3 linked regions of the Mytilus edulis genome follow. Each later gene encodes a partner of the first gene's protein in a complex. Links are inferred from orthologs where the notes say so. Each region holds a gene or a part of one and is shown in the gene's direction. Other genes may lie near its edges.

Region 1 (11,188 bases):
TCAATCCCCTATTATCTATCAATATTTATTACCTATTGATGTTTTGAAACGATCCCCTACTGTATTAAACAATATGTTACCTTTTGGTGTTTTGAATCAATCCCCTACTGTATTAAACAATATATTACCTATTGGTGTTTTGAATCAATCCCCTACTGTATTAAACAATATATTACCTTTTGGTGTTTTGAATCAATCCCCTACTGTATTAAACAATATATTACCTTTTGGTGTTTTGAATCAATCCCCTACTGTATTAAACAATATGTTACCTTTTGGTGTTTTGAATCAATCCCCTACTGTATTAAACAATATATTACCTATTGGTGTTTTGAATCAATCCCCTACTGTATTAAACAATATTTATTACCTTTTGGTGTTTTGAAACGATCCCCTACTGTATTAAACAATATATTCCCTTTTGGTGTTTTGAATCAATCCCCTACTGTATTAAACAATATATTACCTTTTGGTGTTTTGAATCAATCCCCTACTGTATTAAACAATATATTACCTTTTGGTGTTTTGAATCAATCCCCTACTGTATTAAACAATATATTACCTATTGATGTTTTGAATCAATCCCCTACTGTATTAAACAATATATTACCTTTTGGTGTTTTGAATCAATCCCCTACTGTATTAAACAATATATTACCTATTGATGTTTTGAATCAATCCCCTACTGTATTAAACAATATATTACCTTTTGGTGTTTTGAATCAATCCCCTACTGTATTAAACAATATATTACCTATTGATGTTTTGAATCAATCCCCTACTGTATTAAACAATATATTACCTATTGATGTTTTGACTCAATCCCCTACTGTATTTAAACAATATATTACCTTTTGGTGTTTTGAATCAATCCCCTACTGTATTAAACAATATATTACCTTTTGGTGTTTTGAATCAATCCCCTACTGTATTAAACAATATATTACCTTTTGGTGTTTTGAATCAATCCCCTACTGTATTAAACAATATATTACCTATTGATGTTTTGAATCAATCCCCTACTGTATTAAACAATATATTCCCTTTTGGTGTTTTGAATCAATCCCCTACTGTATTAAACAATATATTACCTTTTGGTGTTTTGAATCAATCCCCTACTGTATTAAACAATATATTACCTTTTGGTGTTTTGAAACGATCCCCTCCTTTATCAAATTGCATAGAAACAGCTTTATCCTTCTGTTTAGGATCATATGAGCCAACAGGAGGTGCACAACCTATAAAATACATACAGATCATTTTAGTCATTCAATAAATATATATTTCAACTCGTTTTTCTTATTTCATCCATTTAGAGCAGTAAGTACGGAGTGAGTTGTGGATGATTATAAGACACTCATTCCAATTAATAATTGAAGGGGGACTATATTCAGGTCCTTTACTGAGAAATAATTACCACTCTCAGTCATGAACGATGGGGACATAAATGTATTCAGAATTACTGCAATTTCATGAGGTAGGTGTATTGTCACTAATATTGACATCTTTATACACTTTGCTATAATTAAACACATATTTAAAAGTATGTTAATGTGTGTGAAAAAAAATCAGGATTTTGATCATAGCTGGTCTGTTTCCAATGAATCCTTTAATACTATGATCCATAGTTCTTACAAGTTACAAATATTTCAATGATGGACTAAGAAAATTTACAAAAATAAACTATGTTTGGCACGCAATTTGGAAAGGAATAAGACATATTTAATGCAATAAATGGATTACAAATTTATTTCAGGAAACTTTCATCACTTTCTAATGCAGTAACAACTTTATTTTTATTTTGCTGAGTGTTGAAATGATTGTTGATTTACACTCACGAGTCTCGCTGAAGTGATTAAAAATGTCTTCATGTAATGACATGCAAATAATTAGGTCAATGCTTCGTTGTGGTTGTTGCACTTTGATCAACAAAAACCCCAATCTCGGTCCAGATAATGCAAAAGGGCACATGGCATCAAATTTTAAGAAGAAAAAGAAAAAAAGGCAATGGTGTTGCGCCATGCTAAATTGCTTTAGATAAAACATGTTGATAAAATCACTGTTACGACAAAATTATGTGTATATGCTGAGTCTGTTTCTGAATCTATTTTTAACATAACTTTTGATTTTTTAACCCTGTATACCACCATACCCCCTGTAAAATTATAAAAAAATTTAATAAACCTTAAATGACAAAATTTCTTTTTATTTGACGTTTACATTTTCTGATGTCAGTCAGGGGTACTACTTGTACAAGTGTATTTTATTTACTTGAAGAAGTAAAAAAAAATATACACATATAAGTAAATTTGTAGGATACTTATACAAGTGAATTTTATTTACTTGTATAGGTAAAAAAAAATTGGCTGAGTTATGTCCCTTCCGCATCCAGATTTTTTTACTTGTATAGGTAAAAAAATCATCCTTTCTTCTTTTCTTGAATTCTGCAGATTTCTTTGCTCTAATAGAATTTTAAATTGTGTACCCTTTACAGATGTCTTTACTAATCATTCAAGTGTGATTTCATAGACAATGAAAGTCCCATTTGTCTGTTATCTTCTTAACACTGCTCATTTACAAGCCCCAAAGGAGCAATTTTGTATTGCCTTGCGCAAATATACAAGATCTTTGCTCAATCAGTTTCTTTGATGAATTAATGAGATGAAACATTGAACTTTAATGAAAAAATTTGAGCAAACCTGGGAAAAATTATTAAAGGCATGATTTTACATCTCAAAACTTGAGGATTTTTGTGGGATTGTAAGAAAAATTTACTTGTACAAGTAAATTTTTCAGAAAATTAAGGGGAGATTATTCAAACATTATTTATTTACTTATATGTGTATATTTTTTTTCACTTCTTCAAGTAAATAAAATACACTTGTATAAGTAGTACCCCTGACTGGATGTCAGACACGCGAAGCAATGAATGTGTGTTTTTTTTTAATTTGATAGATACTTTTGTGCTTTTTTGTAAATGTTTGTTTGTTTTGAGATAATGTAACCAAGTGATGACCGCTGTACCCATATTTTGACTATTTCACATATTATATCTGTTTTGTTCACACATCGTTGTAAATATAACAGAATTTGATGTGACTGTCATACAAGTGAGAAGTTTAGCGCTATAAAACCAGTTTTAATCCACCATTTTCTACATTTGAAAATGCCTACATACCAAGTCAGGAATATGACTGTTCTTGTCCATTATTTTGATGTGTTTTGTCATTTAATTAGGGACCTTCCAATTAAATTTGAGTTCAGTATTTTTGTGATTTTACCTTTGACAACACCACCGAGAAGGTCCTCTGAATTATGCGTTAAACTGGTTTATTTCTTCAGATACCTGTATACACACATTGCCTATTGTAAACATGAAGCAAAACACCAGAGATGGTAAAAAAATTTAATAGGACTATGCAATATAAATACAGGCACCCTACTAGCAAGATAAGACCAAGAAAGTACTGAAGATTATAAATGGTGTATATCTGCTGTCATTGGTCTTTTTTGGTGTGAAACAAAATATTGCTTTGCATACAAATGACAAAATGAACCACGATCAGATATACGCTTTACAATAAACAATTCGTTTAGGTATGACTATGAAGCGAAAATAGTGATGGTAGTATTTGTCACTGGAGTTGTGATTAAAATTTATAAAAAACACAATTATTAAGCCAAAGGGCCAATATGCATGGAGTTGTTTAATCCACATATGAGGATAAAAACCAATTTAATCATTGTAATTGTAAACCTTAACCCTTTTTTGATCAGAGCCCTGATTTTGTATATATAGGTACCGAATTGACTAAACTTTTTATTTTTGCATAATAAGAGGGTGGTAAAGGGTTATTTTCGTCCGTTTTTTTATTTCACGTTCAACGTGTTTTTACTTTTTTATTTGACCTTCAGTTGTGCAAGATGGGTGCCACTTATAACGTGTTCTGCTTATTTAATTTTATGTGCATCGTGATTTTCAAAGTCTTATTTTGCGTGCTACGTGCATCGTGATTTTCAAAGTCTTATTTTGCGTGCTACGTGCATCGTGATTTTCAAAGTCTTATTTTGCGTGCTCGGAAATTTTTCAAATAAAATTCAAACACTTGGCAGGGATCGTCAAGAAATACTTTTTTAAAAGCTGTAAACCAATTATATCATAAATGTGTATACTAAATCTGGAATATCAAGTAAAACAAAGAGTAAACAGGGATCTCCATGGATGAAAATTGAACGATGGAGGAACTTTCACCATTACAAACCGTGTCTACGCTGTACAGTGTAGCGCGATCGGAAGTATTTTATCCTTCCATACAAGGAATGGTGAACATGCTAATTCATTGCTTATTTAAATTATATTTATTTGAATTTTCATTATAGAATTAGAAGTATCAATATTTTCATTTATTGCCGTTTTTAACCATTCAAATGCCAAGTCTTCATGGTCCCCCTTAGTCAAGAATGACCAAAAGCTGTCATGAAGGTCCCCATGTAGATTTTTTGTATTTTTGGTAATTGTTATGGGGTTAAAAATCATATGATGTGGAGCTTTTTTTTCATGGACACTGTCAAATTCAGAACCCATTACCGGTATGGCTGATTTGCAGCAACAACAAAACGATTTGTACGGGTTATGTAAAAGGTTAAAGAGATTTGTAAAGCAAACGTTGAAAAATGAAAAGGTTTTTAATGACTTACTCTGGCAAATTGATGCTGTGCAACATGCATCTTTCGAGTCTGAATAGAAACCGGAAACGCGGATGTATCAATTTGATTGTAATATACGAAATGAATTTGGAATTACGATACGATATTTCTTTACAGGAAATATTTAAGTTTTTACTTTTAAACTTTTAAAGTAATTCTAAATTATCGTTACAGCAGTACTCGAGTTATTTGCAATGAAATAATATTTACTGTTTTGGGTCTTATTTTGTACTTCTTAAAAAAGGGGGATGCTGATTGCGTAAGTCAAAATAAAGCACTTGTTCGACTTGTTAAACTGTTTCCTCTGTAACTGGATTATTAATTAATTTATTTAATCTAAATTATCATAATCATTTGCTGAAACTTAGTTGATTAATTCGACAAATAGATCGTCTATCCAAGATAGTATTCTCCTGTCTGGTTTGTTGATCTACCTGTACAAGCTCAGCGATCTTAATCCGGATATCCCTCAGGCGTTAGAACTGTATTGGATTATAACATAAAAAGCCTAAGGGCTATGCAATTACATGCATTTGATTATAATTGATAAACAAAATGGCGTCGGGCTACAAAAAAACGACGAAGTTTTGAACGATGGCGGAAGACAATTAACGATGGTGCAAGACAATTTAACAATGGCACGAGTCATTTGACGATGGCAGGGCGCCATCGTTAAACAGGCCATGGAGATCCCTGAGTTAATATATACAAGAAGACAGTGACTCAGTCACAAATAAAAGTATTTATTTTTCATGCAACGTTCATTACAGAAATTATTTCACGTTCAACGTGAAATTATGTCTTATTTCACGTTTTTTTTTTCGTGCAAGCACCACCCCTTTACCACCCTCTAATAAGGATAAAGCCATAATAATTTGGCATTAACCAGTTGATGATCATTACTGAATATTGAATCTTTATTTTCACCCACCTGTCTTTTCGTTAAAGCGTTTAAATGGTGCTTTTGAAAAGGCCATAATGATGATTTTTTTTTCTATAACTGATACTTTGTCATTAGATATGTAGGAATATTCAACAGTTATCTATACAGATATGCACAAGGACCGCCAGATTTTCGAATTTCTTCTTTCACTTTTCCGCTTTGACCAATGAAATTTGTTTCCGGAAGTAGAAGTAAAATTAACTCGCATGATTTTGACGGATTATTTTTTCCGGATAAGAAAAAAATAAGACACATTTGAATATCTATTCTTTGAATTAAAATAAAGTCAGATAAAGCATAAAGCAATTTCGAATGCTTTTTTATGCATATATCTTGATACAGTTATAATAAAGCGTAGAATATTTAAACAATTTGGCTATAAATAAACCCGGATAATTTACGGAACAGTCCTACTTTTGTTTTAGATTTTAGGCACTGCATTATTTTTATTTTGCTCATTCTTTTCCATTTCTCCATTGCAGTTGCAAAGATGCCAGAAAGTAAGTTTGTTTCCCACAAACACACATGAAATAAGCACACATAAGATCTGTAAATCATTTATTTACAATTTTAGACTGTATTATCAAAATTCATGTATTTTTGATAAATTCTCTTTTTGTTTTCTGATGATAATGAAAGAGATTTTCTATTTTGTCTAGAGATATGAGAGTAATGTCATTTCATTTCCTATGTTACGTATGTGTTATCTGATGAAGAATGACTGTCTTAAAGATGTCATATATATATATTTGTTAAAACCTGTGTGACGGGATTGCTTCCCTTGGAACATGTATAGTGGTACTTGTAAAATCCTTTTTAGACTTTTATCCACGGAGAGAGAAGAGCGCTGTTGTTATGGGCGGTGTTCTTGTAGAGCAGTCTTAAATGTCTCTACAAAACCTGCATCCACAACTTTATCTGGTAGTTGGTTTCAGTGAATAGTTGTTTTCACAAAAAAATGAATGTTTAACTTTATCAGTGCTCTAGCTAGAAATCAAAAGGGGCAGGGTGCCAGTGGAGGGCAGGGCACTTTTTATGATAAGAAAAGGCACTGCTCATTTTTTTGTCTAAGTTTCTGTGTGTATCACGAGTTAACGAATCTCTTTGTTTTTTTTATTGTACTATAGTCTTTATTTCATTGTTTGTGTAGTTATGATTGATATAGTACATCTTCATCAACATATTATGTTTTTACAGTCATGACAGTTCAACTTCACTCTACCAATTATCAAAGAATATGTGTTTTTTTTTTTTTTTTTTTTTTTTTTTTTTTTTTTTTTTTTTATCTATATAGGAATTATAGCTTTGAATACATCATATGAACTGAAACAGAGAGCATTACTAATTTAACAATGTTTAGAACATGGATTGCTAAAAGTATAATTATCAAATAGAAATTGCAATATATATTTTTTAATATGTTCAGACAGTTAATATCTTTAAGATAACATGATTATGTTATTATATATTCAATTGGTAATTTATTCCCTTTTTTGGTACTAGATAATATTTTTAGAGCACAAATTTGTAATAAGCTAAAACAGGGGAAGTAACTCCAAAATCAATTTCCACCACGTTTGGGTTAATTAAAAACTGTGCTTGTCGCTAACAAGTTGAGATGGAAGGCATTTCTGTAAAGGCATAGTTTTATTTTGATGACTTAAATTCAATTCTAAAGTCATGAAAGTCTTCATTTATATACGCTCTTCCATTGTGACTTGGAGATCGAAAATGCCGACCCAAGCTAAACACACTCGCTGACACATTCATCAGAAGTATGACAAAAAGATACATTGTCCTAATTAAATTACCTAGTTATTAACACCTTTGAAGTCTTTATCATTGTAATTGATTGTAATAATTAAAATGATTAACCTGGGGGCAATCACACAGGTGTCATATATGTAATTAACTTGGAGATCAGAAATCGATGAAACAAAATTTTACCAAAACGGAACAAGATAATTTTGGAAAAAGACGTCAGGGCAGAAGGGCGCGGATGAAGGCACCCAGGGCGCAGCTGAGGGCACCCAGGGCGCGGCGCCCTTCTATTTTGGGCTAGCGAGACCACTGTTTATACTGTGGTTTGTTGCTATTTGGTACTTTAATATTCTGGTGTTATTGATAACTTGACATTCAATGATATTGTCAGTTTCACAGTTAAAATATGTTTTGGCTTTGATAGTTCGTTTAGGTTGTGCTGGTATGACAAAATTCTCGCTGGTAGAGCCAGCACCAGACCCTAAACCACCTTGTTAATCAGGATAAGATGGAGGCTGTGTCTTCTTTCCTCTAGTGTCTCCATTTTGAGCTGGTGTCTCATATTAGTTATAGACCCTGTTTCCTGTAATTTTTCTAAATGAATCGTATGCCTCTGTTTTGGATAAGTTCTAGTTTGTCAATATCCCCTTTCATATATATGGGTTTTAGATTCTTGCACCATATTCCATTGTTGATCTTACTAGGGATATGTATGTTACTTTCCTACATGGCTCTGGTACATTCCTCTGAAAGTTCCTCTTAAGGAAGCCCAAGGTTGTGTTGACTTTCTTACTGATGTTGTTTATGTGGATACTCCATTTCAGATCGTTTGAGATTTGGAGTCCTAAGTATGGGTTCACTTGTACCTCTTGTAGGATGTGTTTATTAAGCATATAGAATTTGTCTACTTTTTTGTTTATGGATAGGACATATAGCACTTTTTGGCATTGAAACACATCCCCCATTTGTCATGTGTTAAATACTTAGTCAGCCGTAAGTGGTTGAGCTAAGGAAAGTTCTTTAGCTCAGTTGGTTAACAAGCTGCCTTGTAACACAGAGGTCCCAGGTTCAAAACCCAGTGGAGACATGTGATTTTGCAAGAAAAATCATGCTCTCCAGTATAATAATAATAATTTTTAAAAATGATACGGCTGCATGGTAATTAACATTTCTGACATCCTTTTCAAAATAGCTGATCTTAAAGGGTATCAGGTCTGTTCACCTAATTACTTGTTCGCCATTACCCCTTAGTTTGTTTGCCCATTGAGTTTGTTCGCCATGGGTACCTTCCTCCTACTTTTTAAAAAGAAATATCAATATTAAGGGCATACAGTGACGATACAACATGTACAAATTTAATAAACCTATTCAGATATTCATATGGTATACATGTATATTCTTGGAATTTATGAAAACACATGTTGTATGGAAAGCTTGTTCAATGACATAATAATTTTCCCTTATTGTTGAAATACTTGTCTTTGATGGATTAATGATAAAACAACATTTTCAAATTTGTTTTGATAAACAAGGATTTTCAATTTCCTTTATTATTTCATATAGCCTAGGTGGTCGAGTGGTCTTAGGCACTGGACACTGAAAGTTGTGGGTACCAATTTTCATGGATTAAGGAAAAATTGTATAATCATGGAAATTTGATTTCATGGTTTTGCCAAAGTCTGCTTGCAAGCATATAGCATGTATAGAAAACTTGTATTTTGTTGAACATTTCATTCATGGATCACCTTTGCCCACGAAATCCCTGAAAATTGATATCCCATGTATAATAATGAATTCATGGTTACTAATTTTTAATACAGAAAATATTTCAACTTGAACTAAACAGATCTAGATATGACTTAAACTTTCAAATTAGATAAAAATTGCCTCTAGAAAATCATTTTAATGTTTGTATATTTTAGAAGCCTCTAGATAGTCTAAGATCATTTTAATGTTTGTATATTTTAGAAGGAGATTCTGAGGTTTTCTCAAATCCACTTCCTCCAGAAAATCATCACTATAGCGATGATGAGGATGAAGGGTAAGTTTTATATGATTTAAAATAACTTTTTATAGAAATAAACTCTCACTGTCATACCGATACATAATCCTATTAATAAGCTGTCAAAATTCTTTCAAATATTTTTATATGACTATCAAACTGCTATCAAATAACAGGCCCAACATACATAACATATCCAGATGATATTTGAAAAATAGTTTCTAAAATTGTCATGATTGTAATTCGGCAAATATGGTGAAATTATGTCAAATAACCAGGAAATACCATATTGTTCTACTTGTCTAAAGAGATTTTCTCTTGTTTTTTTATGGATTCTTATTTTTTGTTTGATGTTTAAAAAAAAAAATTAAATCAATTTTGATTATCATGTTAAGTTACAGGGTCAGTAATATATTATATATTATAATTATTTATTACAATGTATATTTAGACATCCACTGACCAATGATGACTTTAGGAAAATGATGATGACCCCCCGGGGGCCAGGACCAGCAGCAAAACAACAACATCATCATCAACAGAATCAACAACATCAGCAGCATTCATCTGTCCCTAAGAAACACTCAAGTAGTAGTAGTAATACAATATTGTAAGTATTCAGGAACTATGACGATATTATTGGTATGTAAATAAGGATGTTGTATGATTGCCAATGAGGCAACTATCCCCAGAGTTAAAATGAAGAGTTAGAGACCAACTGCCACTGTTCTACAATATTAATCTGATCATAATAAAAACAGCACCATTACTCTATTGTAAGACCTCTGTAACTAGGACATCTAGTTTAAGAACACACTAGTAATATATGAAAAAAGCCTGAAGAAGCTTAATACATGGTTATTGCATAGACTTGTTAAAAGTGCTCTGAGCATTGTCTTTTTCAAAATCCTTGATCCACAAATGTACTGAGCCCATTATGATTCCATATCTACATATAATCATCAGCTGGCAGACATGTCACCAGTTAGAACTAGTTTTATATTAGAAACTTTGTTGTGGAAGTTATAAAAAACAAACTGAAAAGACATGGACAAAAACAATAAAAGACAAACAGCAATGCACTAAATACATAAAGATTCATAAGTCTGAAAATTATACATAAATTGTTTTGTTCCATTATTGAACAGAATATGTGATTTAAAAACAACCAAGATTACAGTTTAATCTAAAGACATAGAAACCATTGTTAACCTAACTGACCCAATTTTTCTGGGGTTTTAGTTGATTTTTGTTCATCATTGAATTTATTTTCCAGAGAATTACCCAAAGACAATGAGGATGATGATGCAGGCACCAGAAGAAGGAAAAAGAAAATGTAAGATTCAGTATTCACCAGTAGTAAATTAACACCTAATAAGAAAGTTGATTTATGATTATCTGAAATATATTTGAGGTGATGTTTGTGCTATGATTTATCAATCATATATAATTGATTTTGTACTGATTAAATGTACATAGACACCATACATTTTGTATATGTTTCATATTTAAATCCTGTAGGCAGACTTGGGGTCAATTACATTGGAATGTAATTAATTAAATTACACATTACATTGCAAAAATGGTCAATTACACTAATTACACATTACACAGTTTTTGAAATGTAATTAATTAAATTACAATTACTTTACTAAAGTAATTAATTAAATTACACATTACATTTTATCATGATATTTTTTAACAATATTTTACATGTTTATATAATGCATGTGTAAAATATTCAAGTAAGCATAGTTAAAGCCTTGCATTTGATA
Region 2 (11,807 bases), about 34 Mb from region 1:
AGTTACTATAAGATAGGAAACGTTGAGGGTAAATGCTGTTGAATTGACTTGGATTATAAAGTGCACCTGGGAGACTACATTTTTATGACCTACAAAGTGACTCAGTACACATCTTTGCATTTTTAGCTATGATCTAAGTTTTCTAGCATATGTATGTACAAATCATATTTCATTGTTACCATGATTATACAAAAAAGAAATCTGTGGTAAATGTGACAGCAACAAACTAGAGGCTCTAAAGAGCCTGTGTCGTTCACCTTGGTCTATGTGCTTATATTAAACAAAGGACACAGATGGATTCATGACAAAATTGTGTTTTGCTGATAGTGATGTGTTTGTAGATCTTACTTTACTGAACATTCTTGGTACTTACAATTTTCTCTATCTATAATAAACTTGGACCTTTAGATACAGTGAAAAATATTTTGTAAAAATTTACAAAAATTTACCAAATTAGTGAAAATTGTTAAAAATTGAATAAAATGGGCAACAACTCCTTAAGGGGTCAACTGACAATTTTGGTCATGTTGACTTATTTCTAGATCTTATTTAGCTGAACATTATTGCTGTTTACAAGTTATCTCTATCTATAACAATATTCAAGATAATAACCAAAAACAGCAAAATTTCCTTAAAATTACTAATTCAGGGGCAGCAACCCAACAACAGGTTATCCGATTTATCTGAAAATTTCAAGGCAGATAGATCTTGACCTGTTACACAATTTTACCCCGTCAGATTTGCTCTAAATGCTTTGGTTTTTGAGTTATAAGCCCAAAACTGCATTTTACCCCTATGTTCTATTTTTAGCCATGGCGGCCATCTTAGATGGTTGGCCGGGTCACCGGACACATTTTTTAAACAAAATACCCCAATGATGATTTTGGCCAAGTTTGGTGTAATTTGGCCAAGTAGTTTCAGAGGAGAAGATGTAAAAGATTACTAAGATTTACGAAAAATGGTTAAAAATTGACTATTAAGGGCAATAACTCCTAAAGGGGTCAACTGACCATTTCGGTCATGTTGACTTATTTGTAAATCTTTTTTTGCTGAACATTATTGCTGTTTACAGTTTATCTTTATCTATAATAATATTCAAGATAATAACCAAAAACAGCAAAATTTCATTAAAATTACTTATTCTGGGGCAGCAACCCAAAACCGGGTTGTCCAATTCATCTGAAAATTTCAGGGCAGGTAGATCTTGACCTGATAAACAAATTTACCTCATGTCAGATTTACTCTTAATGCTTTGGTTTTTGAGTTATAAGCCAAAAACTGCATTTTACTCAAGGTTCTATTTTTAGCCATGGCGGCCATCTTGATTGGATGGCTGGGTCACTGGACACATTTTTCAAACTACATACCCCAAAGATGGTTGTGGCCAAGTTTGGATTGATTTGGCCAAGTAGTTTCAGAGGAGAAGATTTTTGTAAAAGATTACTAAGATTTACGAAAAATGGTTAAAAATTGACTATAAAGGGCAATAACTCCTAAAGGGGTCAACTGACCATTTCGGTCATGTTGACTTATTTGTAAATATTACTTTGCTGAACATTATTGCTGTTTACAGTTTATCTCTATCTATAATAATATTCAAGATAATAACCAAAAACAGCAAAATTTCCTTAAAATTACTAATTCAGGGGCAGCAACCCAACAACAGGTTATCCTATTTATCTGAAAATTTCAGGGCAGATAGATCTTGACCTGTTACACAAGTTTACCCCTTGTCAGATTTGCTCTAAATGCTTTGGTTTTTGAGTTATAAGCCAAAAACTGCATTTTACCCCTATGTTCTATTTTTAGCCATGGCGGCCATCTTGGATGGTTGGCCTGGTCACCGGACACATTTTTTAAACTAGATACCCCAATGATGATTTTGGCCAAGTTTGGTGTAATTTGGCCCAGTAGTTTCAGAGGAGAAGATTTTTGTAAAAGTTAACGACGCCGGACGACGACAGACGACGGACGACAAGTGATGGGAAAAGCTCACTTGGCCCTTTGGGCCAGGTGAGCTAAAAATGCATGTTAAATAACAGACAATTCAAGTATCAAAAGATTGAAAAGTTCCCACACCAAATGATAAGCTCTTGTAAAATCAATGAAATAAAAATTTCAACACTCGATCATTTTTTTTATAGTGCTAAGTTGATGAGTGAGAGGAGATATAATTTTAAATAGATTCAGAGGTGTCTATTTACAACAATGATTGCTGTAGACACCTCTGAATATTCATACAAGTACTCTTTGTAAGAATCTCAAATAAAATATTTGAATTTGAATTTGAATTTGAATCTCGAGTGTTTTTTTAGGTGCCTTGCAAAATTAAACTAAACAAATTAATAATGTACAGGTGAAAATACACATATGAAAACAACTTTCTACAAGTATTTTTGTCCAATAGATCTCAATATTGACATTGTGAAACTTTTCCGGAGTAAATATGTAACTAAATGAGTTATCTCCCCATAGATTTACAAATGCTTGCAATACACTTTTAATTTTCAAGATTGAAAAATAACAAATGAATATGTTTTATTAATGTCTCAAGGCAAAGATATGTTAGTGGAGCCAGTAAACAGGTATTTATGACCATAAAATCACCAATTGATGTCGTCGAAGCTTAAAATACAATATTGTAATCTCCATTCTAATGAAACTGATAGAAAACAATGTTAAAACATACATTTAAAATCTGTAATATGTCGTCTGCGCTTGCGTACGTTTTCATAGCATCAATTAATATTGTGATTTAATGACATGAAAATTAGCAACCTTATCCAATCAAAATGAATGTTAAACACAATGTTGCATTAGAGTGATGTTTGACAGGTGATCCTCTGATTCTTTGAAATACATTTTATCATGTCTGTACCAATTAGACCGATTTATCTATGATACTAACCAACTTGATTTGTAAATGTTGAAACTGATGTCTGTGCTACATTCATGATACTAGAACCCCATCCTCCAATATTCCAACTACTAGACTGTAATAAAATAAAGTACAGTGAATGTCTGCCTTTACTTACATATATATAATTATGTAAATGTACATGTATGTATTAAAAAGTAATGATAATGATATCGTAATGTTTCAGTTTGGTACAGGTCCATACAAGAATGAACAGTGTTGTAAATTGAAAGAATCATATACATTTTTTTTTAATTGTATTTTGAAATAAATTAAAGCATACATTTTTGTACTTTCCACCCTCTTGGCCAAACAAGGAGCAAACATATTTTGTCTATAATAATTCATTAGAAATCCATTGACCTGTTTCCTTAAGGCCTGTTGAATGCAGTTACAAGAGGTGATTTGTCCTTAAGAAGTTAAGATTGATTAATAAATGATTAATAGCCAGTGGCAAATATTTAAAGCATATTCAGGAGTACAAATAGTATTTCAACCAAATACATAGTTTCTGCAAAATTCTGCTTACCTTAGGGCCATGGTCAACAGCATTCAATAATTAACTGCGGGTTAACACTAGATGATCATGAAGGACCTGACTGCATTGTTAACAAAAAAAGATTTAAAAGGGGCTGCTGTTTTGCCTTGCAACAGCTAACCTACCAGATGTACATGTATTTACTGACTTTTCAAAGAGCTAGTGCAAGGATTCTTAAACATGTTAAATATGCATGTACAATGTACAACATCGATGCACATGATGTAAGGAGCACATAATTGCTTGATGATTATGATGATAGAAGAGACATTTTTTTATACTGTTTAAGTAACAATAACCTTTTGATCTTCTTCTTCCTCTTCTTCTTCTTCATCATCGTCATCATCTGCTAGTTGATCCAGAACAGATTTAATGTCTGGCTTTTCTGATCCTTCTCCAGATCCTTCCCTCTGTATGTTCTGCCCAGAAGGTGACTTAACAATGCTTTCTGTTTTTTCAGAAACATTTGTACTGTCTGTTGACAGCTCTTTATCATTTTCTGGTGCCTTCTTTTCTTCAACTTGTGTGGTATCTGTTTTTTTCTCTTCCTGGTTTTCTATGTCAGATGTTTTACTTTCTGTCTTCTCTTCCTCTTTTACTATTACTTCACTCTCAGGCTTTTTACTTTCTGTTTCTTTCGCTTCATGTTTTTCAGTACTCTTATTATTTTTTTTGGCCTGTTTTCCCTTTTTCTTTCCTTTTCCAGTTGCTCCTTTCTGTTGTGGTACTTCAGGATTTTTTGTTTTGTCAATAGCCTCTTTATCACTTTTAGGATTAGTTTTTGAAGCTTGTTTCGGGTTGTCTCCCTTTCCTACAGACTTTGTTGCTTTATCTGTATCAGGCTTAGTAGATTTATCTCCCTTTGGTGGACTTTGCTTTGTTTCTTCTCCTTCATCAGCACTGGCAAATGCAGCATCATCTTCTGAATCTGACATTTTATCTACAAAAGCATGAAAAAGTATAAATGAACAGTTAGAAGCTTAGAAGAGGTTAGAAGTCAATTAAAGGAAATGAGAAATATTAACTTACTTTTCTGATCCTCTTGTGATTATTATTTAGTATTTTTGACTGTGTTAAAGTAGTAAGGGATTGCATTTTTTATTAGTTCATTCTATGACAATTAAATATTCATGTACAAATCTTCGTCAAAGGCCAACTTTTTTACCGTTCATCTTTAATATTATTATAAAACTAATGAACATTTACATGATTTATGAATTATTTTTATACATTATAAATATTCTTTTGAATCAACTTGGGAAGGAACTACTTTGGACAGATCAAATAGGAATGGAACAACTTGAAATTGATCGACTTGGCACAAATAGACTTGGGGCCAGATCGACAAAAAAGCTTGGTGGTACAGGGCTAGGAACAGTTAAACAAATGGTCAGATTATTTGTTTTCATGAGTCATTTGCAATTTGTACTATGAACGCTTTTTCAATGGAAATTGTGACGTCATAATCCCGGTCCATTCTTAACCCTCTCGCTGCTGGAGGGACACATATAACCATTTTCAAATTTATGCAAACTTCTCATCATCATGAACATTGATGTACATTTTGTATCTCTTTCAAGAAAAAGGCTGATGATTAAACAGTGCATTATTTTTTCTTCAATGGCTCCAAAATATAACGGTTATCTTTTTCTTGCGCCCACCAGTAGTGTTGAGTATTGGTAAAGTTTGACAGTTCAACGTAAAAATTATTATGTAGACTGTATATTGAACAGATATATCATGTTAAGGAGGGGTATTTGCGAAAAATACCAGTCGAGAGAATGTTAAATTTCACGAGCCGTAAGGCGAGGGAAATTCATTCTCAAGACTGGTATTTTTCGCAAATACCCCTCAATAACATGATATATCTGTTTAATTACACCGAATGTTAATGTACTAAAACGCATTGATGATCGTGACGTTACAAGCGTCCAGTCGGATAGAGTATTTTTGGCAAATACCACGGCAGAGAGGGTAAAAAAGGCATATCCTTTTAGCAAATATGCCGGCGGCGTAAAAAATGAACAATATTCATTTGATAACAGTAAATTGGTGAAAAATACACTGGCTATTAACCAATCAAAACCCCGGATTCTTACATAAGGTGTAATTATAATTATTATATGACGTTATATATCAAACATGTCAAATGAAGTCATTGTTGAGCATGTACATGTGACGTCACAGATGTTGAGCTGCCGTATTTTCTTGTAAATGAAATGAAATACTACCAGCAGTAAGAGGGTAAATAGAAGGAAAACCCATAAGGTGAGGATAATATATTTTTGTTTGTGACAATAGTCAATACAAAAGTCAGGACTGTCTATTTCAAGTACAACCATTAATAATTAAAATATGATCTAATGAGAGAAAGGAAATTAAAAAAAGAAAAAGTAGATTAAATTGCTAAATTATCAAAATCATGCAAATGATGGCATGGCAAATCTGTAATCAACAGATCAACCCCTCAAAATTTGGCATTTTTCCAAGTGTAAGGATTGTTTATCAACAATCAAACACTTCTCCCTCTCAGACAAAAATAGTCCATTTCATGCAAAACTTACCAAAACTCTGCTTGTCAAACGTATGCAAATGGAAAATCGAACTATAATAAATTTCGTCACTCCAGCCACGTCGATTTGTTTTGCATTTTTTTAAGCTTTCGGGTCATTGAGCAACTTGAAATAAATAGGAGCTAACTGTCATTTTAAAACGCATGAGAAACTTAGATGGAAGTGCATGGATTTGAGTTTTCGGAGTTTTCCATAGACAATAAGAAGAAACCCGAGAGCGAAGGCTATTTGATTGTTTACAAATTTATAAATTAATATTATTGAGGATACTTTAAAGAACAATGGCAGAGGTTACAAGAATACGACAAATTAAGAATGAATCCAGCTCTTTCCCTTTTAAGTGTCTTCTTTGTAAATCGTAAAGACACAATAAACCCCCCCTTTTCTCTTTATATTCATGGTCCTACTACTGGTGCTTTTGCTTAGATAATGTGATGTTCCAAAGCATAGAACTATACTTCACAATGTCCCATGACACGTATCCCACCTGAATGACCAATTAAACCTAGCAGTTTATTAAAAATTGGAATTTCGATGATGGAAAACTTTCAGAAATAGACAGTCAGAGCTCAGACATGAATAAGTCTGAATCTGCTTTTGACTCATAGAGGTCTAGATTTGTAAGTTTTAGGATTAGTCTCCCTTTAATGCAAGACAAAATATGACTTTAATAAGTCAAATATTGTTAAGCAAGAAATAACTGTACAGAATCAAAAAGTTGCAAATATCGACTCCTACAAGTCGATAAGTGATCAAAATTGGTTAGCTTAAAGACCCACGCAAATTTATAAGGAGGTCATGCATCTAAATCAAATAATGACAACATTCAAAGACAATGCTTTGTCTTCTAAGGAAAAATATGAATGAGAGTCTAAAAAATCGGAGATAATGTTAATTAACCTTACAATGCAACCACCTGGAACTACACTTAATGAGGAAAAACATCTGTGTTTAGTAAGGATGTTCAATAAGACAATTACATATAGATAGCTCAAGTCCTTGTGAACACTCAGACAGGTTTTTGCTGTCATAGGTTGTGTAGTTTGGCCACCAAGTGAAATTAGTTTTTTCATCAACATAAATAGACCTAAACAAGTCTGTCATTTTATGGCTTAGATAAGTCTAAAATTGAAAACACATTTTTATGATAAATACATGTTTTGACTTCTTTAAGTCAAAAACAAAAATAGACTTGTTTATGTCTGAGCTCTGACTGATAGACACAGGCACTTGTTTCTATCCATTGGAAGACCCTCTATCCAAGTAAATATACGTGGATAGAGGGTCTTCCAATTGAAAGAAACAAGTGCCTGTGGAAATAGACCACTTTCGAGTTTATCCTTCACTGGAAAAAACTCGTCAATTATGCGCCCCATTATGACATCATTTATCAGATAGAGGGGATCGCCTGTATCCCTGCACTATGAACTCTTGTGCTATGCCTATTTTGGGTGTTTTTAATTAGTTTGAGAAATGTACTAGTTTCTGGATTGTATTTTCTGTTAAGTATCTTGTAGGTCTCAATTATGTCCCCTCAGAACATTCTATATTGGCAGCTTAAGTTTCTTCAATCTTTCCGGATAACTGAATTTGTTGGATCCAGGTATCTGGCCTGTCGGCCTTTTTTGTACATTTTTAATTTTGCCAAAGAATTTCTTTTTGAAGGGAGCCTATACTGAACTAGCATAGTCTAAGTGTGTTTTCCCTTATGTTTTATGAAGATCTTTGCATTTAAATTTATATTCTTCTTATTGCCGCAAACATTGAGTTAGCTTTGTTTAATTTTTCCCATATATGTGTTTTTCAAAGGTTTATAGATATATTTGCTTTAATGCGAGGGATATTTCCCTGTTGTTCTAGAGAAGAAACAGTCTGTTTTCATGTTTTTTAGGGAAACAATTACCTGTGATCTAATGACTATGTATTAATTTTCCAGAGTTCTTTAATTTAACTTCATGTACATTCATTAATTTATAGAGAATTTATTATACAAACCCTACCTTCAAGTGATGATATATCTGAGCCTTGAATATGATATGATATACATTTTTATCATATTATCTACATCTTTTATATTAATAAGTAAATTTATATCCACATGAAAGATCATTACTTAAATGTTTATTTTTTTCTTCAGAAACCAACACCCGGTGATCACAGACGAAAGTGGGACAAGGATGAGTATGAAAAAATTGCTAAAGTTCGATTGGAAGAAGAAGAAAGGAAACTTCTTGAAAAAGAGTTAAAAGAGCCACCTATCAAAAGAGAACTATTAAAACCTAGAGAATATAAAGTATGTTAAACAAGGTTACATTTGATCGAAATTAATATATTCAGAAATAGAGAAAAAAAATCTTATGATTAAATATCTTTGTGTAAATCTGTCAAAAGGGAATATACAGTTTTAAGCCATGACAAGACATTACTATGCAGTTGTGGAAGAAAGAGCAGATACTGAAGAGGGACTTTGAGTAAAATTCCCTGGGATAATGGTTTATAAAACCAAATATATAAACACCAGTCTTTTTTTTGTCAGTCAAAATAGACTGCTAAATAAAACTGATTAATTTATATAAATATTTAAGCAGCATCTTTATTAAGTGCCAAGCCACTCTGCCTAAGAATCTGAGGCAGTGGTCAAACGTGACAAACAAAAACCCGGCTCAACTTGACATTAATTTAAGATCAAAACGTACATATATAACCATGGTAACAGTGCATGCATATTACATTTGTTTCCTGTAATTCAAGATATAATTTGGTTAAAATGCACTGGAAATTAACAACTAAGGGGAGATAACTCCATAATTTGCTTTCATTCTTTACCAAAAGTTATCTAGAGATTTCTCAAAATAATAGACACACAGAAACAAAACAATCTACCATTTATAACTCCATGAACTCAGGATAAGGGAAACTTCATAATAGGATGGGTAGGTTGGTAAGGTTTTTTTCTGTCTTGTTTTGAAAATTGTCTAAATTGCCTGATTATTACAAAGACTGGCACTTAAACATTTGTGTAGAATAGGTTGTAACATTTACAATTACTAAGATGTGACTTAGCACACATCTATTTACAAACTGACAAGTAAGTGTCGCTTTGTCTTCATATACATGTATAAGATCGTATGTTAAATTTTTATAGCTGTTCTAATTACTGTATCTGTTGTTCTTGTTTTAGGTTGATCTCGATTCTAAATTAGGAAAATCTCAGGTTATCACAAAGCAAACACCTCAGTCAGGACAAGGAGGGTAAGATAACATTTTATTTATCTATTATTAGTCTAAGATTTTAGAGTAGATGTTTAATTATGTAAGGAGGGGCCTAGTGGTCAAAGTAGTTCATCTACATAAATCACTAGCTTGTCTACACTGAAGTAGTGAGTTCCAAAACCACCCAGGGTAGGTTTGTTTTACTCCTATCTGGATTGACAAGGATTGCCATTTTCCTGCTAAAGATTGGTGATTTTTCTCTGCATACTTCAGCCTCCTCGACCAATAAAAACTGACTGTAACGACATACTGAGTGCAATGCCAACAATCAACGGTGAACCAATCAATTTATTGTTTGGAATATGAACTCATGACATGTACCTTATTGAGAACTATATTATCAGTTGAAATGATATCAATTACATTTATATTCAAGTAGAAATAAGTAGATGTGGTATTAGAACCAATGAATTAACTCTCCATCCAAGTCAAAAGTTTAAAAAGTAAACCATTGTGGGTCAAAGTACAGCCTTCAACATGGAGCTTTGGCTCACACTGAAAACAAGAAGCTATAAAGGACCCCAGAATTGACTAGTGTAAAACAAGTTAAACAGGAAAACCAACAGTCTAAACTATCTTAAAAAAAACAGAAATGAGAAACACTTATGAACCACATTAACAATCCACAAACCCTGAACAATAGTTTCCTGACTTTTGGACATTTGCAAACAAATGTGGTTTTAAACGTTTTAACAGGCACCAACTAAAATATATTGAAATTAGAGAAATTGTATGTTCGAAAAATAAATTACAACATGATACATGATACTATATCACTTACAAAAAATTAATGGTATAGGTCAAAATTTGTATCCTTAAAATCAATAGAGAACTTGTACATATTATTTTATTCTCGTTCACCATAACACAAGTCTTAACATAGTTTTGTACAGATGAAGCCAAAATCAATCTCTGTGTAATGTCATAAACATAAATTAAAATAACATCATAGAATAAAACAGAGATGGAAAGTTATTATTTTTTTAATATTTTGATGATTCTAAATTCATTAGAATAGATTTCCTTCACCTTGTCTGTCCCATTGTTAAGTTTCTGATGCTGCATTACCTTAGATTGACTGTAATATTTTTTGTTATTTCAGGTATTATTGCAATGTCTGTGATTGTGTTGTTAAAGACTCTATTAATTTCCTTGATCACATTAATGGAAAGAAACGTAAGTTTGTATATAAATTTTTCTCCTTTGCTCTCAAACAAAAAATATTCAGGAGCCAGTTGTGAATAAGATAAACAGCTAGTATTTTTAGCATTTTCAAAATGTTAGAGATTTTTCTGCAAATAAATGGAATTCATTGCAAGGTTTACCAAATTATATTTTTTTTATCCTCAGATTTTGAATACTGTGGATTTATTATATTTTTTGTGTTTATCAATTTTCTTGGATTTAGGTCTTTGATGTGCATTTTTCTTGATATTTGATTTCCTGATTTTGACAAAGTCTACATTCAAGTCAATAGATATTTGTAATTTGATGAGCATTAAAATTTTTGGGTTAATGTTTTCAAATGTCAATACAGAGTTATGACACATTCAATACGGTTGCTGCCTTTTATAATTTTATATCTGAAATTTGTACTAGCTGATGTTTTTATTGTTTTTTTTTGTATTTAAGATCAAAGAAATTTGGGAATGTCAATGAAAATAGAAAGGTCAACATTAGATCAAGTGAAGAAAAGATTTGAAAGTAATATGAAGAAAAAAGAAGAAAAGAAAAAAGAATATGATTTTGAGGAGAGAATTAAAGAATTACAAGAAGAGGTACGTAACTAACACTTCATCATGTATCAAAGATTTAACCACCTTCAGAGAGTCGACAGTTTAAAATTGTGTTTCTTTCCAGTTGACAGACTTTTCAGTTTTTCAAGATTGAACTTTTTTGATGATCAGCATGCACTGTTCTAGTTGACTGACTTTTCCTATACAACAAATTAAGTTTCACAATTAAGCAACACTAAAGACCCATGTGCACAGTGCTGCCAAATATGTTCCTTGTACACTTCACCTTACATATGAATTCCTAGATATGTATGTTCTAAATTTTGTGTGCTTTCTGACTTGAAGAAATATATATATTTGCTGACCATGCAAAGAGGGTGGTAAAGGGGGATGCTTGCGAGAAAAAAAACGTGAAATAAGACATAATTTCACGTTGAACGTGAAATAATTTCTGTAATGAATATTGCATGAAAAATAAATACTTTTATGTGAACCTTTTGTGACGGAGTCACTGTCTTCTTGTATATATTGACTCTTTGTTTTACTTGATATTCCCGATTTAGTATACACATTTATGATATAATTGGTTTACGGCTTTTAAAAAAGTATTTCTTGGCGATCCCTGCCAAGTGTTTGAATTTAATTTGAAAAATACCGGGCACGCAAAATAAGACTTTGAAAATCACGATGCACATAAAATTAAATAAGCAGAACACGTTGAACGAGGCACCCGTCTTGCACGACTGAACGTCAAATAAAAAAGTAAAACA
Region 3 (11,273 bases), on another chromosome or scaffold:
CCAGGTTTCACTGTAGTTATTTTAAGTGTGCAGTAAAAGGATATGAGATCTTGTTGTGTGTCAGATCAAGTTCTTCTATATCAGATCCTTGTTTTATCAACTGTACTGGTATCTCTGTTAGACTCTGAAAAAATAGTAAATACTAGAACACACCCGTGATATTACGGGTCCGTGACTGAATTAAAGTATATAACTATGCGCAAGCCTTATTTTAGTATTAGTATTGTCATCTGATAAAGTCTAAAGTCATGCCGATTATAAGATACACAGTTTTTCTCTGCTTTCAAGTCTTTCTGTTTGAACCCGTCGAACTGAAACAATAATATTAATTATTTGGAAAACAAAAGGTCCTGAAATGGAGTATTTTTTAATCAAAAGCATTGTCCTATTTAAGTTATAAATAAAGTTGAATTCTTTCCTTCGCTGTTTTACGTCATGCCCACTAACAAATTGAAAACTGTACCTATACGACTTATTTTTAGTCCAGATTTTTAGTATTCGTATTGTTATCTTAGAAAGTCTTACTGATTAAAATACTACAATAGGTAACAATTTGACAATTTAGTAGTGTCAACCCTGTGGTTATGACCCGTGTATATAGCATATTAATCCTGAATACAACGTTTGGTGGTGCGCCTGTCAGATGCGGAACGTACAGATAAGGTAATAGGTAACAGGTGAATATACTATTGGTATCGGTAGCGGACTCGACCCGGAACTTCTTAATTATTGTTAATATTAATTACGTGGAAAACAAAAGGGCCTGGAGTGGTGTAATTTTTAATCTACACCTTTGTACTATATTAGTTATATATAAAGTTGAATTCTGTGATTCGTCGTTTTTACGTGATGACGGCTAACAAATTGGACCTCGTAATTTTAGTATTATAGATATTGGCATATAGAAATGTCCTTATGATACAGGAATTTCTTATAAATACTTGAAAAATTACACTATTTTACTATTTCTTATCATAAAGGGACGAAGTCCCGTTTTACACTGGAATTTTTTTTTTAAATGCCTAACAACAGAACCATTGCAAAATCGAAAACGTTAAAATATTCCATTTCTTTTTGGAAGTTAAATTATGTTTGAATTAAAATAATCAATTCATACAGACTTCGTCTCCTTTCACAGGTAATGCCTGCCTCCTATTAGAATTTGTTGTCAGATTAAAATTGATTTCACACAAAATTGTCTTAACCTTTTTAGCTATTTGAAGAATTTGGTCTTGATGAAAAATATTTGTTAAATTTATTCTCAACTTTTTCAGCTGGACGTAAAAACTGTTTTTCTTTTTTTTTTTTTTTTATAACTTTAATGTATTCCCTGAGATTTAATAGGTCATTACTCAGAGTAATCGATTTTTAGCGGTTGAGTAAAAGAGTTGTGTTTCATTGTATAAGCAATTAATGTGGATTCATTTATTTTTGTTGGTATCAATTTTCGTGGATTGAGGGAAACTGACACTTTCGTGGATATTTAATTTCATGGTTTTGCCAATGGCAACGGAAAATTTACAATTCGTTGAACATTAAAATTAGTGGTTTATCTGTACCTTTGAAATTCAGCTTAAACCTTTGTTCTTAAAACCTTGTGTACACAACAATGACATATTTCAAGTCAATAATAGCAATATAAAGAAATATCCAGAAAAATTGATGAACATACAAATGTATAAGGGAATTACAAACAAGCTTGTGTTGTCATCTTCTGTGTCATTTGGTCTCTGTTGGAGAGTTGTCACATTGGCAATCATACTCCTCTATTTTTTATATCTAGACTGCTAACCATCTAAAAACATACCTGGTATGCTAAACTGGTTCTTTTTTCTGACATCTTCATTTTATTCAATCCATATGTTCATTCATCACAAGGATCAGAAACATTTTCAATTTTCATCTGAAATAAATTAGGGTAAATGATTGTAGAATATAAAACCAGGGGTTAAAAAATTTTGTTACAGCTAACTAGCCCAGGACTTATTGGCAGCAGTATTTTACTAGCCCTGTTGGAAGAACTGCTAGTCCATCAAAACTGACCTGCTAGCCCTAGTATGCCTTTAAAATCAAGAGTTTGTGGCATAATACAAAGTGGGTGTCCGTTGTTTTGAAGGAGACATTATACACTGTATTTAATAATTTTTGTTGATCTGTTATTTATTCTTTTGGTGCTTAACCTAACTTAGTTGTTCCCACATTCAAAGCAGACTTTTTATTGGAGTGCTTGGGGCAACTAACGGCAATATTCACAGAGCATTGTCGGTTTTTTCATCAGCAACAGCCAACCTTGCCATGGGAATCATTGTGTCCCAGTTCTTCCAACCTTTCAGGAAGTGAATGCGTGATTTTGTGGCCAAATAGTTAAGATCAAAGAGAAAAAACAATAGATCAAAGGAAAATGCCACAAAATAAGCATGAACATGTGTGAGTCTCGCGCTAAAGACTTGACAGCCCTGCTGTCCTTGACACTATTATTTTTTTCCGCGGCTTTTCCCTATCGTATTTAGCATTTTTGGGGGATGAATTTTCAGCCTCGTTACTCCCTTCATCTACCGTTTTTCGTGTTGAAACTGACGAAGTTCCTGGGGTTCACGTACTAAAATATTAAGAAATATTTTGTTGCATGGTTTCGTGCTCAAGAGCTGTGCAACAAGACAGGTCAATACCAATCAATACATCATACCCCCAAATACCGTTAATTGAAAATCTCGGCACGATAAGGCAGCAACCATTTGATTTTCTGGGGGGGGGGGGCTATGTTTTTTTTTTGGAAAAAAAAGTTTGTTTCCAGGTTTTGGTGAAAAAAATAATTTGTTTTGGACCCTGAGTACAAAAAATTGTTTGTTTCACCCTCAGCTGCCACTATATGTAATGCTGAAATTGAAAGAAAAAAATAGATTGTTCTACGCCGAAGGCGAAAAAAAAAGTTTGCACAGAAAAAAAAACCATAGCCCCCCCCCCCCCCAGAAAATCAAATGGTTGCTGCCTAAGCAATGTACAATACCCCGAGCCATGATATGAGAAATCGATATTTAAAGTACGAGAATTGCAATCAACACATGATACCAGACCACCCAGACATGCCAGAGTTATTTCTTCCAGTTTTAAAATATGTACAACAGGACCTGTACAAACCAGCTCAAATTCTTGGAATCCTGGCTGACTTAATTGAATCGAAATGGCTAACATAAAATAGTGATGAAAGGATTTTTCACTTTCTATTTTGGAAACGTCAATATTTTTTGTTACTAGTCCGTCGGGCATATCGAATTACACATTTTAATTGCCTGAGGCGTAAATGATCTAGTCCCGGGCGTCGGGCTAGTGGAATTTTTAACCCCTGAAAACAGACATCATGGACATTGCTATTAGGGGGGAGGATAGGACCTTTTTAGTATAGGTGTTTTTAAGCTCGGGATTTTGGGATTGATCCTTTCGGGATCTGGGAATTCTTTTTTTCAAATTTTGGGATGTCAGGATGTCGGGATTTAAATTTCTTTAAATTCAGGACCTCAGGATTTCATGTTTTTAAGCCCGAGATTTCAGGATCAGGACCCCTTCGTACCCCGTCATATTATGAATTAAACATGATTCCGATTTTCCAGTTTTCAGTTTTAAATGCAGGATTTTGAGATGGCTATTTAAACTCTTCAGCATTTTTTATGATTTTACCAACATGACCAAAAACGCAAATTACAGGATATTAAAAACATGGTACATGTACATTGTAATAATCTGAATTTTTTTTGTTTGCATCTAGCTGTGACCTAATAGTGTAAGGATTTTTGAAAATTATAATCAATTCATAAGAATACTTGTATTAAAAGTCAAACTGTATGATTTTTTTTCTAAATTTTAATTGAAAATGAAACCGTGACCATTATTTGAAAATTTTTCAATTTTTCATTATAACATGTGTAATTTGTTTATAAATGATCTGAACATCATAGCTGCATAGCTATAATCATAATAATACTGCTGTTGATTTTTTCTTTTCTTTTTTTTGGGGGGGAGGGGTTAGGGGGGGGGGGGGTTGGTGGGAGGGCAGATATTTTGAAACATAAAATGCAGGATATACGTGAAAGTAAATGATTGTGCATACATATGCATAGCAATAGATCAAAACAATTTTTTATGCATTGATAGTTCTATTATATAATATCAGTCTTCACGCTTAACCCCAAGTCCTACGGCAGTGGGTATGAGAGCACAATTATTTCGTAGTGCATTTCTTTTAGAACATAAATGAAAATAAAAAAAATCCCATTTTACACTGTGTTGTACTACTTTTGGGACAAATTATATCAAAATTATAGAAAACTTCATCGGCTCTAACTCAAAATATGGACAATTTTATCTTTAGGGCGTCTTGAAATCTTTTGACAGCTTTCCTTTAAAATTCTGGGCCCAAATTTTTTTACAGTGTAATTTCACCCCCCTACTTGCAATTTGAGGCATTAAACATGGAGAAATAAATTTGGAAGGGGTATAAAAATTAATGGCAGGTAATCCACTGTCAACACTAGGGACTATTCATATTCGTGAACAACGAAAATCAAGGGACGACAATTGTGGTCTTGGACCTAATAGGATAGAAAGAGTTGACTAATCTTTAAAAAACTTGGTATGACCAAAGCATGCAAAGCTTAATAAATTATAACACTGCTTACAAAGTTTCATGACAATAGGATGTATATTATAGACAATAAGTTAAGTTCTATATTTATCTTTGCGTGTAAAATTTTGACGTTAAAATTGAATAATTTCAACTATCAACATTTGGGGCTTCAAAAATTAAAATATTGCAAAAAAATACTTTTTAAATGCCTTAATATATAACCTATCATGTACTTAAAGCAATAGAGTACTCATTTGATTTATCAGACTTGGCATAATTATTCAAAAGTCAAATTTATATGAGCCTGAGCCTAAAAATTGAGGTTTTTCAATGAAGGGGCCTTACATGAAGATGTAATATTTTCCAGCCATTTTAAATTTTTGAAGCTTTTTGGTTATAAATAATCCTTACATATGTATTGAAAGTACTTTAAATGGAAAGAAGAGTTACAAATAACATATCATATTAGTTTAAAAGGGTCTTAGGCCAAGTAAGACTGGAAAAAATTTAGGGTCAATTTAGGCTGTACCTCATATCTACATTAAAAAATGCATATGGAGGCTGTAAGAAATAAAAATTTGTGTCTTTTTTATCATTTCTATACTCATGTGACATGATACAACAAATCTGAGCACAAAAAGACTCTTGCAATTAACTTTTCTTACAAACTTCATCGTCTCTAACTCAAAATATGGACAATTTTATCTTTAGGGCGTCTTGAAAATCTTTTGACAGCTTCCGAAGTGCTATTTTTCAACCTTTTTCACCTGGACCAAATCACTACTTTCCTTTAATATTCTGGACGACAATTGTGGTCTCAGACCTAATGAGAGATTTTGTAAATTTTGCGCAGGAAAAATTGAAAATGAGATACATTTCTTGATTTAATGTCCGCAATATAACAAAATTAGATCTAAATATAAAATTAATGATACATGTATCATCAAAATAACTTGTTAAATATATCACAGGCATTGGCAAAGAAGTCATTACTAATTGTTTTGGTTATTTCAGATATTTTTATCAGAGCCGGCAAAATAGCTATATTATACTGCAATCAGCTATTTTACTATACAGATAAAGCTATACGTATAAACTTTAGCTTTATACGTCAATGACCTCAACTCACCTATAAGCCCCGCCTACTTACGACGTCACGTCACAACCATGACAACGTATAGTAACAATGGTCAAACTTTTATGAATTTAAACTTGTTATGTCTTCAAATTGGTAATTTCTATACCATGATTTATCAAATATTATTAATTAGAGTTAATTTTCCCTTTCTTTTTCCTTAAAATGTCAATTTTGTACCGCCTGGAATACGCTCAAAGGGAAATACCCCAAAATGGTACCCCAAGAGGGAAATTTTAAACATTTTTTTTAACAATATTTGTTTCATATTTTTATTATTTTTTAAATTTTTTATCGATTTCAGTTTAAAAACAATATACGTATAGTGTCTTGAAATATGAAAATTATTTGTATTCGGTAGAACCTCGCATTTCCCCCGTTTCTAAGCCTCATACACAAATAAATTTCATATTTCAAGACACTATACATATATTGTCTAACTATACAACATCATGAACATGTACAAATTACAAGTACAGCATTTATTATTGCTGTAATTCAAACCTCTATCAGAGACATATAATACATATATGTATATATGTCTCTGCCTCTATATATATCTAGCGCTATTTCTAAAGCTTCTAATTATCAAATACGTACTTAAGGTGTTAATTGTTGCGTAAACAATATTTGAATTGAATTACTGTGTCAATCAACTTAATTTCAATGATTGTCTTTCAAGTTGAGCTGTCTACCATTTTGAACAAATTTAATGTCACATGATTTACATTGTTTACATGTCGTACGTGCGTTTTAAACAACGGACGAAAGAATAGTCCTTTAATATTTCCACGAACACTGATCACATTAAGCATGGCTGTCGAAATCGAGCAAAGAGAGTAAGTGATTCTATTTGTTTGTGATTTCATCAATGCAATGTTGCATTTGACTATTTATATAACGCATAGGGACCAGTGTACATTGAATTTTAACATCGTACACTCTTTTGTTTCCATCTTGTAGTCATGTCATTAAGATAAACATTAACTACAGCTTCAGTTTTTAGATATTTCCCTATAAAAGTTCTACAATCCAGCTCATATAAATGAGCACCTGCAATGGTACACTCCAATCATGATGAATAATATGAGGCAGGCATTACCTGTGAATAAGGACGAAACTGTACGATTTTTTTTTTTTGTAACACATATTTGTTAAAAAAAAGAAACGGAAAAACAGTAACGTTTTCGATTTTGGTTCTGTTGTTAGGGATTTTACTTGTGACTTTATTTAAGTTATGACGTCATGTTCGATGTAAACAAAGAAACACAATGTATCAGGTAACGTTTTTACATTCATATCAAAGACAAATAATTATTAATTATTAAAAATGAAATATTGGTATTGTGTTCCTTGAGTTCCTATATTTTACTAGACTACTCAAAGTCTCAAGTGCTACAACGAGACCGGAAGGAGGCAGTAGATTTTTGCGTTATGCGCAAATTAAAAAAAAGCGACAAAAAAAAAATTTGAACGATTTTGAGTTCATAAGTACATTGAAAATTTCATGAAATTTTCCAGATTTTTAATTTTTTTTTTTTTTTATTGATTTTTCTTCTAAAATAAGCTCTATTTAGAGTCATCATAGTATACAAACAAGGACATACTATAGTGTGCTTTAACCTACATGTACATTTGACAGCTCATTGTTACTTTTGTACATGTCTTCTTCTTCCTGTAAGCGGCCACTGTCAACTGGTTGACTATTCTGCCACATTTTAGAGTGAGTGCATGCAATATTTTTGAAATTTAATAAACAAAAAGAATGGGTGCAATTTAAAAACATGTCATTTAAATCTTATGACGAAGCTGAGCCTTGAAAGATTCAGGACTTGGGGCGCAGACAGTAGATTTTGGCAATTTTTATTAGGTTAATAATAATAATAATGTGGCACTTTTTGCATTTTTTGTTTGGTTGTTCTTCTTCCTGGTACAGGAATTCGAATTTGAAAGACTCTGGTGTTGGAAGGTGGAATATCGCGGTTCTTAGTTACCCTACTGCAGATGCCTACTGGTCTCCAGGTTTGGACCTTAAATTTTGTATGTTTATCACAGACCAAAATTTATTGTATGGAAAACTTTCTGGCAGACTTTTGCTTCATGCATTTTTCTGTAAATTTCCTTAATAGTCACAATGCTCATAATGGACCTTGGAGGTCAAGTTGTCTAACTATAAGTAGCTACTACTGTAATCACTAGCCAGTCAACACTGAGGTTATTAGTTGGAACCCCGCGTCTACTGTTGCACTCAATTCCAATCTTAATTGTCAGTTTTCCTATCAAAGATCCGACCATGGTTTTCTCCAGGCACTCCAGCTCCATCCACAAATATAAAATGGCAGCCACGAAATAGCCCAAAAGCAGTGCTTAAAAGTGGCAAAGAAAATCAAATCACAATGCTTATGTTATTTTAAATTATTTTTTCAGTGTTGTTCGTCTGATTGAGCAGTATCTCAAGGAAAACAATTTACTACGGACACTTACAGTTCTACAAGAAGAGAGTGGGACATCATTGAATACTGTTGATTCTGTAGATGGGTTTGTCTCCGACATCAACAGTGGTCACTGGGACAGTGTGCTCCAAGCCATACAGACACTAAAACTCCCTGATCAGAAACTTATAGATTTATATGAACAGGTGAGGTCTAAGCTCAAAATAATGGTAGTAGGGCTAATGTGCTACAAGATACTTCCAACAAACTAATAAAATAACTTACAGCGGATTCCATGGAGTGTGTAGCCAAAGGTAATTTTTTTAGTTAGCTTGCTTGTTAGCTGAGCCGTGAAGTCATTGTTAGGTTAGGTAAACAAACTACCCTACTTTAGAAGAAATAGACTAGTCCGACAGAAACCAATCGATCTGTCTGTTGGACTATGCTACTTCGAAAGGAGGGTAGTATACACTGGTAGACCTATTTGGCAAATGACCGCGATTTTTGGCAAATCTCCGCGGAACGGATAATAAATAGAGGTTCATCGTAAATTTTTCGTTTTACAGTATATTTTGCGGTTCTCCGGAGATTTTCCGTGTCTCAGGGAATTATCCGCGTGTCTCAGGGAATTATCCGTGTGTCTCAGGGAATTATCCGTTTGTCCGATTAAACTGGTGTGTATTGAGTCAGTGATAGAACCAGTGATGCGTGAGCGACGGTTATTAATAGATCGTTGTATAATCCGTTATCTGTGAGCAACGGTTATTAATAGATCGTTGTGATTATATACACTGTTTACAGTCAGATAAAAATAACCGTCTTATTACCCTTTTCAGTCGAGAAATAAAAAGCGGTGGTTTTGATATTAAAGTTACTTGCAATTTAAATATCGAATTTAGTTTAATAAAGAATAATCTATTTAATTGTGACCAATGAACAGGAAAATGCACGTGGTAACTTTGCAATACTACTACAAATATGTTCACCTTACAAAATTCTTCTTTATTGTCATGTTAAGATAAATCAGTTCCTGTAAAAACAGTAAAAACAGAGTCTTAATTACTGCAGATGCCGTAATCCGACATAATGTCATACTGATTTGACACCTGTCTAGTGTGAGTAACACCTGCTGTGATATTTTTGCAATACAACATGGACAAGCGGAAGGTCGTAAATCAATCTGTTGATCCGAATTTAACTTTACCTGTACTGATAAAATTGAGAAAGGAAATGGTGAATATGTCAAAGCGACAACCACCCGACCATAGAGCAAACAACAGCCGAAGGCAACCAATGGGTCTTCAATGTAGCGAGAATTCCCCCACCCGTAGGTGTCCTTCAGCTGGCCCCTAAAATATGCATAATAGTACAGTGATAATGGACGTCATAATAAACTCTGAATTATACACAAGAAACTAAAAATTAAAATCATACAAGACTAACAAAGGCCAGAGGCTCCTGACTTGGGACAGGCGCAAAATTGCGGCGGGGTTAAACATGTTTATGAGATCTCAACCCTCCCCCTATACCTCTAGCCAATGTAGAAAAGTAAAAGAATAACAATACGCACATTAAAATTCAGTTCAAGAGAAGTCCGAGTCTGATGTCAAAAGATGTAACAAAAGAAAATAAATAAAATGACAATAATACATAAATAACAACAGACTACTAGCAGTTAACTGACATGCCAGCTCCAGACCTCAATTAAACTGATTGAAAGATTATGTCTTCATCATATGAATATCAGGTACAATCCCTCCCGTTAGGGGTTTAGTATCATACTATCATAAAATATATGAGAAGAACATAACCCGATATTTATATATGAGAAGAACATAACCCGATATTTATTTATGGAGGATATCATAGATACATTTAATAAATTGTATAGTATTCAATGGAGATAATTTAAATACACAATATAATTTATTAAGACATATTTTCAGGTATACATTGAACAAGTTTTCTCCAACCAAGAATTAAGGTTTGATATTGAATGCTTTTTTTTGTTTTTTTTTTTTTTTTTTTATCAAACTTCGATCTTATCAGTCAACGAGTAATTCGTTTATAGTTACACATTGTTACTCTTCTAACGTCTTTTTCTTTGTGCTATTAAAAAAAAACTCACAATTTTCCACATCAGATCGACATTTATATATATATATGAATACTGGAAATCTTTTTTTCCGTCCGACACCACGCTCCCCACAAGAGCCCCAAGATATAATCATACCTGTCAATCACTAGCCGCAAGTTGAACATTTTGGCCAGCCTTCCTCGTGCTTTCAATTATGACATCGTTGCGAATTGATTTTTTTTAAATTGACATGTGAAAAGAATAAAGTGATGGGAAGTTTATTTTATGACCTATCAGAACTTCTTGTGATTCTAATAAGATTTTTCTTAGGCCGCATTATTTTCTAACAAGAATTTTGTAAACGTTGTGTCGCGTGTGTTACTGTTTTCTAAACGATACACGAGTAGAAACAAATACATCGTTTGATAAATCTTTAATGACCCTGTTTGAATTGTCAATAATGCATGCACATGTTGTTGGTAATCAGACTTTTTTACAAAACGTAGAAACAAATACTTCGTTTAATCAGGTTGAAGTTAGAAACAAATGCAGTGTTTGTACTAACAAACGACAAACTGTAGACGCATTTTTAGTGTTTGCATAGTTTGTCAAAGTTTATGTAAACTTTGCAAACGTATGTGTTTGAAAAAAATGATCAAATCATGTGCGAGCTTAGCCGTTTGCATCGTTTGTGTTAGAAAGAAATGCATCTTTAATGAGTCTGAATCCGTAACCGTCAAAATAGCATGCTTTACAAAAAGATCAGCCAATTCAAGCGTTTCTTTACACAAAGATGATTTTATGTACGTCATACATTACATGTAAATTAAACATTTATTTAAGTAAATTTTTTTCGTATCTATCTTTTTCGTATCTATCAATTTGGTTACAGGGTTTATGCAAGTAAGTTGTACCGTGTGGTGCGTTTTCAGATTCATTTCTCAACAACTTCCTGTGAACCGAAATATTTCAGCGGGGGTATCAACGGCGGCAAGCTTACAGTTTAAC

The links.
Region 2: protein Red-like (region 1) and zinc finger matrin-type protein 2-like share a complex: the UniProt entries of both Homo sapiens proteins name them as parts of the spliceosome B complex. The link is inferred for Mytilus edulis from reciprocal best matches to the Homo sapiens genes IK and ZMAT2.
Region 3: protein Red-like (region 1) and WD40 repeat-containing protein SMU1 share a complex: the UniProt entries of both Homo sapiens proteins name them as parts of the spliceosome B complex. The link is inferred for Mytilus edulis from reciprocal best matches to the Homo sapiens genes IK and SMU1.

What each region holds. Positions count from the first base shown.
Region 1 is NC_092351.1:651,807-662,994, reverse strand, and holds the start of protein Red-like, read left to right. Parts: upstream 1-6,012; 5' UTR 6,013-6,140; coding exon 6,141-6,150; intron 6,151-9,379; coding exon 9,380-9,452; intron 9,453-9,864; coding exon 9,865-10,023; intron 10,024-10,689; coding exon 10,690-10,749; intron 10,750-11,188. Other genes in the region: hyaluronan mediated motility receptor-like, read right to left, coding at 1,140-1,238, 5,639-5,684. UniProt on the Homo sapiens protein: Involved in pre-mRNA splicing as a component of the spliceosome. Auxiliary spliceosomal protein that regulates selection of alternative splice sites in a small set of target pre-mRNA species. Required for normal mitotic cell cycle progression.
Region 2 is NC_092351.1:34,544,144-34,555,950, forward strand, and holds the start of zinc finger matrin-type protein 2-like, read left to right. Parts: upstream 1-6,179; 5' UTR 6,180-6,309; coding exon 6,310-6,318; intron 6,319-8,165; coding exon 8,166-8,321; intron 8,322-9,209; coding exon 9,210-9,280; intron 9,281-10,403; coding exon 10,404-10,477; intron 10,478-10,933; coding exon 10,934-11,079; intron 11,080-11,807. Other genes in the region: protein FAM114A2-like, read right to left, coding at 2,909-2,993, 3,755-4,390. UniProt on the Homo sapiens protein: Involved in pre-mRNA splicing as a component of the spliceosome.
Region 3 is NC_092354.1:21,758,799-21,770,071, reverse strand, and holds the start of WD40 repeat-containing protein SMU1, read left to right. Parts: upstream 1-6,470; 5' UTR 6,471-6,569; coding exon 6,570-6,595; intron 6,596-8,183; coding exon 8,184-8,394; intron 8,395-11,273. Other genes in the region: leucine-rich melanocyte differentiation-associated protein-like, read right to left, coding at 46-124, 1,808-1,846. UniProt on the Homo sapiens protein: Involved in pre-mRNA splicing as a component of the spliceosome. Regulates alternative splicing of the HSPG2 pre-mRNA. Required for normal accumulation of IK.